Linked DNA regions of Rattus norvegicus. The protein of the gene in region 2 interacts with the protein of the main gene of each other region in a biochemical or structural test. Links are inferred from orthologs where the notes say so. Each region holds a gene or a part of one and is shown on either strand. Other genes may lie near its edges.

Region 1 (4,568 bases), on a different chromosome or scaffold from region 2:
AACCTAAAAGCTAGTAAGTAGTTAAGTAAATTATAATTACTTGTTTGCATGTGGGAGTGTGTCCCATGGCCTAAGTGTGGATGTCAGGGGTCACTGGGCTTGGCAACAGGGATCTTTACCAGCTGACCCATCCTGCAACCCTCAGGTCCCCTTTCTGCAGCATTTTTCTAGTTTGAAAAGAAAAGCATTCGTTTCCTTATGCTCAGGAGCCACTATGGTGGTGAGGTCATGTGTGCAAGGGTCCTAGGGAAGAGAGGCTTTCTTTGCTCCAGGCAACTCTCAGCACAGCCAGGTGTCCAGCTCCCACAACCTACTCTCAGAAGAAGCTCTGAAAGGGGATTTCAGAGGATAATTTTGCTCAAGGAGCTAAAGTCAATGGTTACCTGAGCTCCAAACTGAGGACCACAGCAAGAAAGGACTTCTTTCACAGTACAGAGGTCAGAGGCCAGGGATCCGCCCTAGGAGGCCAAAATTCCAACTCAGAGCTCCCTATCTCTGCCTACAAATTGTGCAACTAAACATGATGACGGAAAGCTGGCCTAAGGGACAGGGTGATCCAGTGTTCACAAGAGTATCCCTAGACCTGCTCCACCTTCTGGGTGTCTCCCTAGTGCCACTAGACCCCTTACAAAAGGATCCTTTAGGGTCTGAGTTTGAGGGTCAGTGGCAGAGCACATACAGGCCCTGGGCCCAACACCTAGCACCACAAAACAAAACTTTTAAGCTAGGTGTGGCCGCTCACTTCTATAATCCCAACCCTTGAGAAGCTAAGGCAGGAAGATTGCTCTGAGTTTAAGAATCATCCTGGGCTACGTATTCATTCATAGCCAGCCTGGGCTACAGTGATGCTCTGTAATGATAACAAACAAAATGAATCCTCTTAAGTATAATGTATATTAATGTTGTACTACATATTGTATTTATTAGTTCAGAAAGCCAGTAGGTAGTATGATTCTTTTACAGACTCTAGACCTGGAAGAGTAGGAATGGAGGGGGAAAAGAAGGGGGAGGAGGAGGAAGAAGAGGAGAATGACACTGTTCCTCTAGAGGATACTGAGTCTTTAAACACTGGTGTCTGGATTCCTGATTACTAGTATCTGCGCATCTCTGATGTGCTGGACCTTCTTCTAAACACCTTGTTACACTGTCTCCTTTAATCGCTACAATAATTCCACAAGCCAGGAAACTAATTCTTCTTTCTGAGAGGAGAAAGCTGAAGCTCTGGGATTAAGTACTGACCAGGGAGACACACCTCATGAGTAGTAGGTCCTAGGTTGGAGAGAGGACACAAAACTTGAACTTTTAACCAGTGAGGTCCAGGTTAAAATGAGGTAGAAGCCTGACTACTCAATTCTACCCCACTTGACCTACATCAACATGAGTCACTACTCCTTCAGGACAGATGGATCACTGGCTGTGTACGCATTTGATGATTTAATTCTAATTAATACCAACCTTAGTCCTAAAAGATCTGTTTTCAGCCCCTATTTTACAGATGAGGAGATAAAGACTCAGAGACAGAACAACTTGTCAGAGGCTGCCCAGTTGGCAACCAAGGGCAGACTTTCAGGTTTCTGGGTTAAGCTTTGGTCTACAAGTCGTCTTGGGTAAGACTTATTTCCCTGGCTAAATTGGAGGCAGCACTTGACCAACATCTTCCCGGCATTTAGCAGTTGGCTTGATGAGGTGCCCATTTGTCTCCCATTAAATCCTGCATCCCCAGAGGCAGACACAGAATGGAGAGGTCCTCAAGCTTTTTTCTTTCTTCACTGCTGCCCCCCCCCCCCCAAGAGCCTGGCAGCTTCCACTCTGGCATCCTAAGTTCATCAAGGAGTCTGTCACTTGGCAGGGCAGACTAGACAAACGTGCCTGGTAGGATGGACTTTATTAAGTTTTTTGTTTGTGCTTTGTGCAGCTAGGATCTGAAGACAAAGGGCAAGAACCACAAGAACCTGAGAGGTTTAAGAACCACAAGACACCTGAGAGGTTTAAGGATTCGTACCAGGAAGAAGCCTCAGGTTCATTCTCAGAAGTGAAGCTGCTAAAACATGGAATACTCCTGGGAGACCTCTGGGCTGAGAGACTGGGAGGAAAAGGCTCCCCACTCCATAGCTCTAGCCAGCATTCGGGAACTCAACTGAGATTAGACCTTGCCCCCAAACACGTACAACTGGTTTTGCCCAGCACTTCCCAGGTGGTCTGGCTTCAGGTTGGATCCTACCTAGCTTCCAACAATAAAATGCTTTCCCACAAGCACTGGGGTTTTTCTTTTCTTCTTGTGTAATGTGTTAAGGCCTCATGTAAGGTCGTCATTTAACTAAGCAAGGAGTGGGGTGAATTCAAAGGCAAGATAAGCACTGCTCTCGGTTCCTCAAACTCTGCTCAGAGCTTTGGGAACTCCTGGTTGGGAAGAAAGTACCCTGTCGAGTTAGTGTCGTCCAGTGCTGAGATGGAAGTACGCCAGAGTGGGCTGGAGAGGTGAACACAGACCTGCTTCTCTGGAAACCCATCAGCACGGCTGCAGGGGCATGCACGTGGAAAAGACAGGTACCGGCATCCCTATGTGGGTTCTGTGCCCCACCTCCCTGCCTCAGTTTTCCCATCATGCAGAAAAGGATGGGGCTGCCTCTTAAAGACTCTCTAGAGCGATCCGGAGGCCTATGTTCTGCATTAACATTGCTCTCTGCAGCTTTCCCGAGGGTCGCGAAGCTGGAGGACCGGTACGGAAGGTAAAGTGAGAAACGACCGCAGCTCTGGCTACGGCCTATGCCCTAACTGCTGCGTCTGGCCCGGAAACCGTGCATCAGGCCGGAGACAGAGGTTCCCGCGGGCCGAACGGCCACTCACCGGCATGACTGACGCGGCACAGGCGGCACAGGCGGCACAGGCGGCGGCACAGGCGGCGGCGAGGACTAGAACGCCTCTCCCGAACACCAAAGCGGCGTTTCCGGAGAGCGCTCCTGGAAGCCACGCCCTCAGGCCAACCCAGTCTTCGGCCGGGCCCCGCCCTAGGGATGGGCTCTACTTAGTCCCCGCCCTTTCCGGGGTCTAGCTTCCGCAAGGCCCCGCCCTTTGAGGAAGACTGTTCCGATCCCTTCGGTCCCAGTTACAGCCAGGCTCCTCCCTTGGGCTGGCTTCCACTTGGTTACCGCCCCTTTCTGACATGACTATTTCACTAGGTACCCCCTCTCTTCGGACCCGCCAGGCTCTTTGGGGCCAGTCGGAGGCTAATTTGTGGAGACCAGACCTGTACCTTCTACTGGGTCATTTCTGAAACAAGGTTAGGGAATGAGAGGCCAAGGCTCTAGGAATGAGGGATCTGGTATTTCCCTAAAGGGACCGTCTCTCTTGCTTATTACTCAGTCCCTAAACTACAGTTGCCTGGCCTAGGGCGGCAGGTCTGTTGACCCAGTTACTAGAGCGGCTGAGGTAGAAGGTTTCTAGGTTCAAGGCTAACCACAGCTGTAAAGTTCAAGGCCATTTTGGACTTCTTGAGACCCTTTCCTGAAAAACATATTTAAAACAAAACAAAACAAAACAAAACCAAATGTAAGTGTAAGGCACAGAGTAAATCAGTACACAACTCTAAAACCAGGTCTTGAAAAGTTGAGGGCCAAGTGGTGCCTTCAATCCCTGCCCTCTGGAGGCAGAGGCAGGCGGATCTCTGAGTTCAAAGCTAGCTTGATCTACAGTGCAAATTCCAGGACATCCAGGGCTATGTAAAAAAAAGAAAAAAAAATCTTGTCTCCAAACCAAACCAAACCAAAGCTGAGGGAGAAGGACCCAGAGGATCCAGAGTTCAAGGTGGCTGTGACCTTTAATTTCAGCACTCAGGAGGGAGCAATACCCACACAGACTTGCCTATAGGCCAATTGGATGAAACCAATTCTTCAGTTACAGTCCTTTTCCAAGATGACCGAGGCTTGTGTCAAGTTTATCAAAAAAGATCTAACCACTCTTATCCTAAGAAAAAACAAAACAAAACAAAACCTGGGAGACTGTGTCTTTCTCACCCAATTACGGCAGCCCAGTCGACCAAGTTACTTCATGGGTAATTGATACGCATGTAGAAGACGGGCTTCCTCGACAGTGCCAGAAGGACCAACAGATTAGATTTATCTCCTCCACCAGCCATTTGTGTCCTTGAGCTGAGGGCTAAGAGAAGTTCCCTAAACTAAGAAGGCAATCTGTCGTTCTGTGTGTCAGGATGGGTTCAGTCAGAAACTATACTAAAATTTGAATATAGAACTTATAAGAAGTTGGTTAACAGAAAAGTCTAAGAATCTAAGACTAGCTGGATGCAACGGGTGGGGATGGCGACACAGGTGTCTATAAACAACCCCTCCCCCTATTCTCTGGAGGCTGAGGCCAGGGAAGTCATGAATTGGAGGCCAGTCTGAACCTTAGGAAAACCTGTCTTAAATAAAATGAACTAAAATAAATGTAAGAACATAATAGCTAGGCATGGTAGTTAACACCGTTAATCTCATCATTTAGAATTGGAAGCAGGGGAAGACAGTGACTGTACACACACACACACACACACACACACACACACACACACACAC
Region 2 (3,823 bases):
TCAATCATTCACTCAGCCCACTCAACATCACATGAACCAAAGACCACCATGACCCCCTCCAAAGAGAGCATAAAACAAGCCACCTAACCTGTGATGAGGGACTCATCTGCCATGGTGTTGCCTTCCAGGACTTTCCCGTCCACTGGGAACTTGCCCCCAGGGACAACCTTGATGATGTCACCTCGCTGCACCAGCTCCATGGGCACTTGCTCCTCTCTGCAACAGAAGACACTCGGATAACATCCTCCTCGTCTATAATTAGAGTGGGTTCTAGACTGACTATTGGACCTTTTTTAGCAAGCCCTATGCACCTAAGAGCTCTAGATTAGCAGACACAACCAATCTTGCATCAAAAATATTCAGGGATGGGTTGGGGATATAACTTGGTGGTACAGCACTTGCTTAGCATGTAGGAGGCCCTGGGTCCCATCCCCAGCAACACACACACACACACACACACACACACACACACACACACACACACAGGGCAGGGGTGCAGGGGTCACCGGTCTATATCCACAACACACATATTTTTGCATCACTGCTCTCTAAATTCTCTAAACAATACAGGATAAACCCATTTGCATTCCGTTTGCATTGCAAATGTATCACAATTATTTTAATGATGGTTTAAAGTATGTGGGAGGATGTGAATTCTATGCAAATATCATTTCATTTCATATGAGGCACTTGGTATCCAAGGGTCCTAGAGCCAAATGCCATGGGTGTTGGGGGACGATTATACTTGCCTCACTGTGAGCAAGGGCTGGGGCTAAACTCAAGAGGGGCATGCACAGTTCATATCAGAGTCCCACTGCTATGCAAGGGCTACAGACTTTATCGTAAGAAAGCAGGCAGCTGCTGAAGGATCCCACTACACAGCAGTACAGACAGACACTACAATGTAGACCTTTAGAAAGATCACTGGTCCAACTGCATTTAGCAGCTGATGCAGGCTTCAGGGTGACACTTGTCACTACACAGGTGATACAAAAGGATCCCAAGCTCTACCGATCGACACAACGTACCTGAGGATTAAGTTGTCCTCTCCCAGGGTCACAACTGTGGCTTCTGTGGCTTGGAGTGACATGAGTTTTGCGAGGGCTTCTGAAGTTTTGCTCTAGGAAATAACCAGGATGAGAGCTGTCGGTCCAAACCCAGGCTGACACTCACGAGGATAGCGCTGAAGGTGGCTGGTGTAAAAACCACAACCGTGCCACTAAGGCAGCCGTGCATGCCAGCACCAGAGCCAGCCCAGCGCTGCTGACGACACAGAGCTTGAATTCCACTGTGGATGAACACAACCCCAGTCTGCCCAGGGCCATTTCCTTTCACCTTCAATATAATGTCCTTCCCCCTCACTACAGGCTCCACAGCAGAGTGCAAAACATCACCCGCTCCGAAGTGTGGATTTCTACACTAACTAACTGCAATCCATTAGGTGCTAAGTTCAGAGTTTGTTCCACCACGCAATTACCCGGACAAAGGTTTTACTAATTAGCCAGATTAGCCGGGATTTCAGAAAGAGCAACCAGCTGGGAGATTAGTGACTTCAGGCCCCTAATTACACGGGGGTTCAGATTCCTCTTGGCCATTCGCTATAGTGTGTGTGATTAGTAGTTCTCAGCACACATTGCCCTTGGGCTAAGACTCAGATTACTGAAAGTACCGATCTTTCCTTAACTGGAAGCTGTAGCTACCTTTGCCACGTGCTCCAGCCACCGTCCCAGGGCGATGAAGACGAAGAGCATGGGGGGTGTGTCAAAGAAGGTCACTGGGCTCTTCTCCGCCTTTTCAGCTATGGCAACCACCAGGATGACCAGGGAGTAGGCATAGGCAATGGTCGTGGCGAGTACGATGAGCACATCCATGTTGGCTGACTTGTGTCTCAGCGATTTGTAGGCTTGGACATAGAAGTACCACCCACCCAGGAACTGAAAGACAGGGAGGGCGAGGGCTGGCTGAGGAGGGGGGAGATCCAGGCTCAGAACAATGAGTATTCTAGGTTCTTGTATGTAGCTGATGCCACTCTATTCTGTATGATTATTTGATAGTGATGGGCACACACGTTGCCTCAGCCTCCAATGAAACACACTTCCCCATTCAGAGTACTACTGCCCCCAGAAATGGATGACCAAGGGTACGGGGTGTTTGGAAGGCAGACATACCATGGAAATGTCTGTAATAAGAGAATGGTAACGACGATGATGCTATTCACTTACATCGTGAATGGTCTCTAAAGGTAAGCCAGTGATGCGAAATATGGCCGCAACTCAAATAAGAGGGGCAGCATCCATTAGTGTTCTCACGTGGCCCCCACCTCCATTAACAGACATCTGTGTCTGTATAGGACAAACACGCATTCACACACAAGCATACACACACATGCAAACACATGTACACATATATACATAGAGACAGAGATAGTGACAGAAAGAGAGACAGAGATAGTGACAGAAAGAGAGACAGATAGAGAGACAGAGATAGAGACAGAAAGAGAGACAGATAGAGAGACAGAGATAGAGACAGAAAGGTTTGCTGTACAAAGGTGGGATATGGGGCGGGGGAGAGAGAAAGAGAGAGAGGGAGGGAGGGAGGGGGAGAGAGAGAGAGAGAGAGAGAGAGAGAGAGAGAGAGAGAGAGAGAGAGAGAAACTCCTGAAGATGTGGCAGCAGTACTAGGAACAGGACTGGGCCAGAGGCAGTCAGTGTAATCATTTGGAGTTCATTTCCCTTTGCTTCAGTATTGGTGAAATTGCTCACAATAAGGACAAAGCCCATTTTCAGTTAAAAAGGAAATATAGGGAAAATAATCCAGCCTACAAACGGTTACCCCCTAAATGTCCTAGTTTCACATGTCAGAAAGTGCACACGCAGACATTCTCACGCATGTATCTCCATCCATGCACAGAGGTTCTACACAGCCTCCTTGCTTTAGAGAACTTCATCCAGAGACGGAGACCATGGCTTTGCCTTTAAGGATACAACAGTCAGCAGAAGCATGAGCTCCAGGGACAACAGGGAAAACTAAAATAATAATAAACCAATCAGGAAGCGAGGACTCGAGGCATTACTGAGCAATGGCACACTTGCCTAGCATGTATGGCATGTATGAGGTCCTGAGTCCTGTCATTTGTAAGACACACACTCACACACACACACACACACACACACACACACACACACACACACACACACACACACACGGGACAGATAGGCTCACCGAGCTGACAAGGAGAGGGTGGCTGTTCTGACAAGTTTTAATCACTCGCAATGACCTGTGACTGTGAAACCCGGCCTTTCTTATTAGTTCCCACATTGGCAGCCCCCCTCTACCCTGCCCTCCCCTCTGGTCATAAGACAGAAATAACAGCAGCAGCAGCTCCCTAGAGGTGATGCTGCAAAGTTGCCATGACTGGAGCCAGGCTAAAGGGCTGCTGACACAGCCAAAGAACAGAGATCCATTAGCCATGCCTGGGCATCAAGGGCAGACAGGTTTAGCCGGCCTCCCAATACATACTTGGACGAAGGTACACAAGATGAAGAAAATGAGGTTTAGAACGGACAGTCCTGGAATGATGTTGTGGTCCAGGACCATGGTCTCGTGGGGCTTACTGCTGGGGATTAGCATGTAGATCATCAAGCCCATGACGGGGATGCCAAACACCAGGCTGCACAGGAAAGATTTCTTCCACCTGGAAGGTAAAGCCGGCCACACAGACGTCAGAACCTCCTGGCACTGGGATCAGATTAAAGATGGATTAAAACAACAGGGAGGTCGCCTGACGCTATCAGTGACCTGAAGGGCCAGGCATTGCTGAAAG

What was found.
Region 1: the proteins of Atp7b (region 2) and Atox1 form a complex in vitro, tested with the Homo sapiens proteins (3 studies listed by BioGRID and IntAct). The link is inferred for Rattus norvegicus from reciprocal best matches to the Homo sapiens genes ATP7B and ATOX1.

What each region holds. Positions count from the first base shown.
Region 1 is NC_086028.1:40,077,611-40,082,178, forward strand, and holds the start of Atox1 (copper transport protein ATOX1), read right to left. Parts: upstream 2,952-4,568; 5' UTR 2,854-2,951; coding exon 2,848-2,853; intron 1-2,847. UniProt on the Homo sapiens protein: Binds and deliver cytosolic copper to the copper ATPase proteins. May be important in cellular antioxidant defense.
Region 2 is NC_086034.1:76,702,998-76,706,820, reverse strand, and holds part of Atp7b (copper-transporting ATPase 2), read right to left. Parts: intron 3,695-3,823; coding exon 3,520-3,694; intron 1,935-3,519; coding exon 1,701-1,934; intron 1,121-1,700; coding exon 1,029-1,120; intron 217-1,028; coding exon 89-216; intron 1-88. UniProt on the Homo sapiens protein: Copper ion transmembrane transporter involved in the export of copper out of the cells. It is involved in copper homeostasis in the liver, where it ensures the efflux of copper from hepatocytes into the bile in response to copper overload.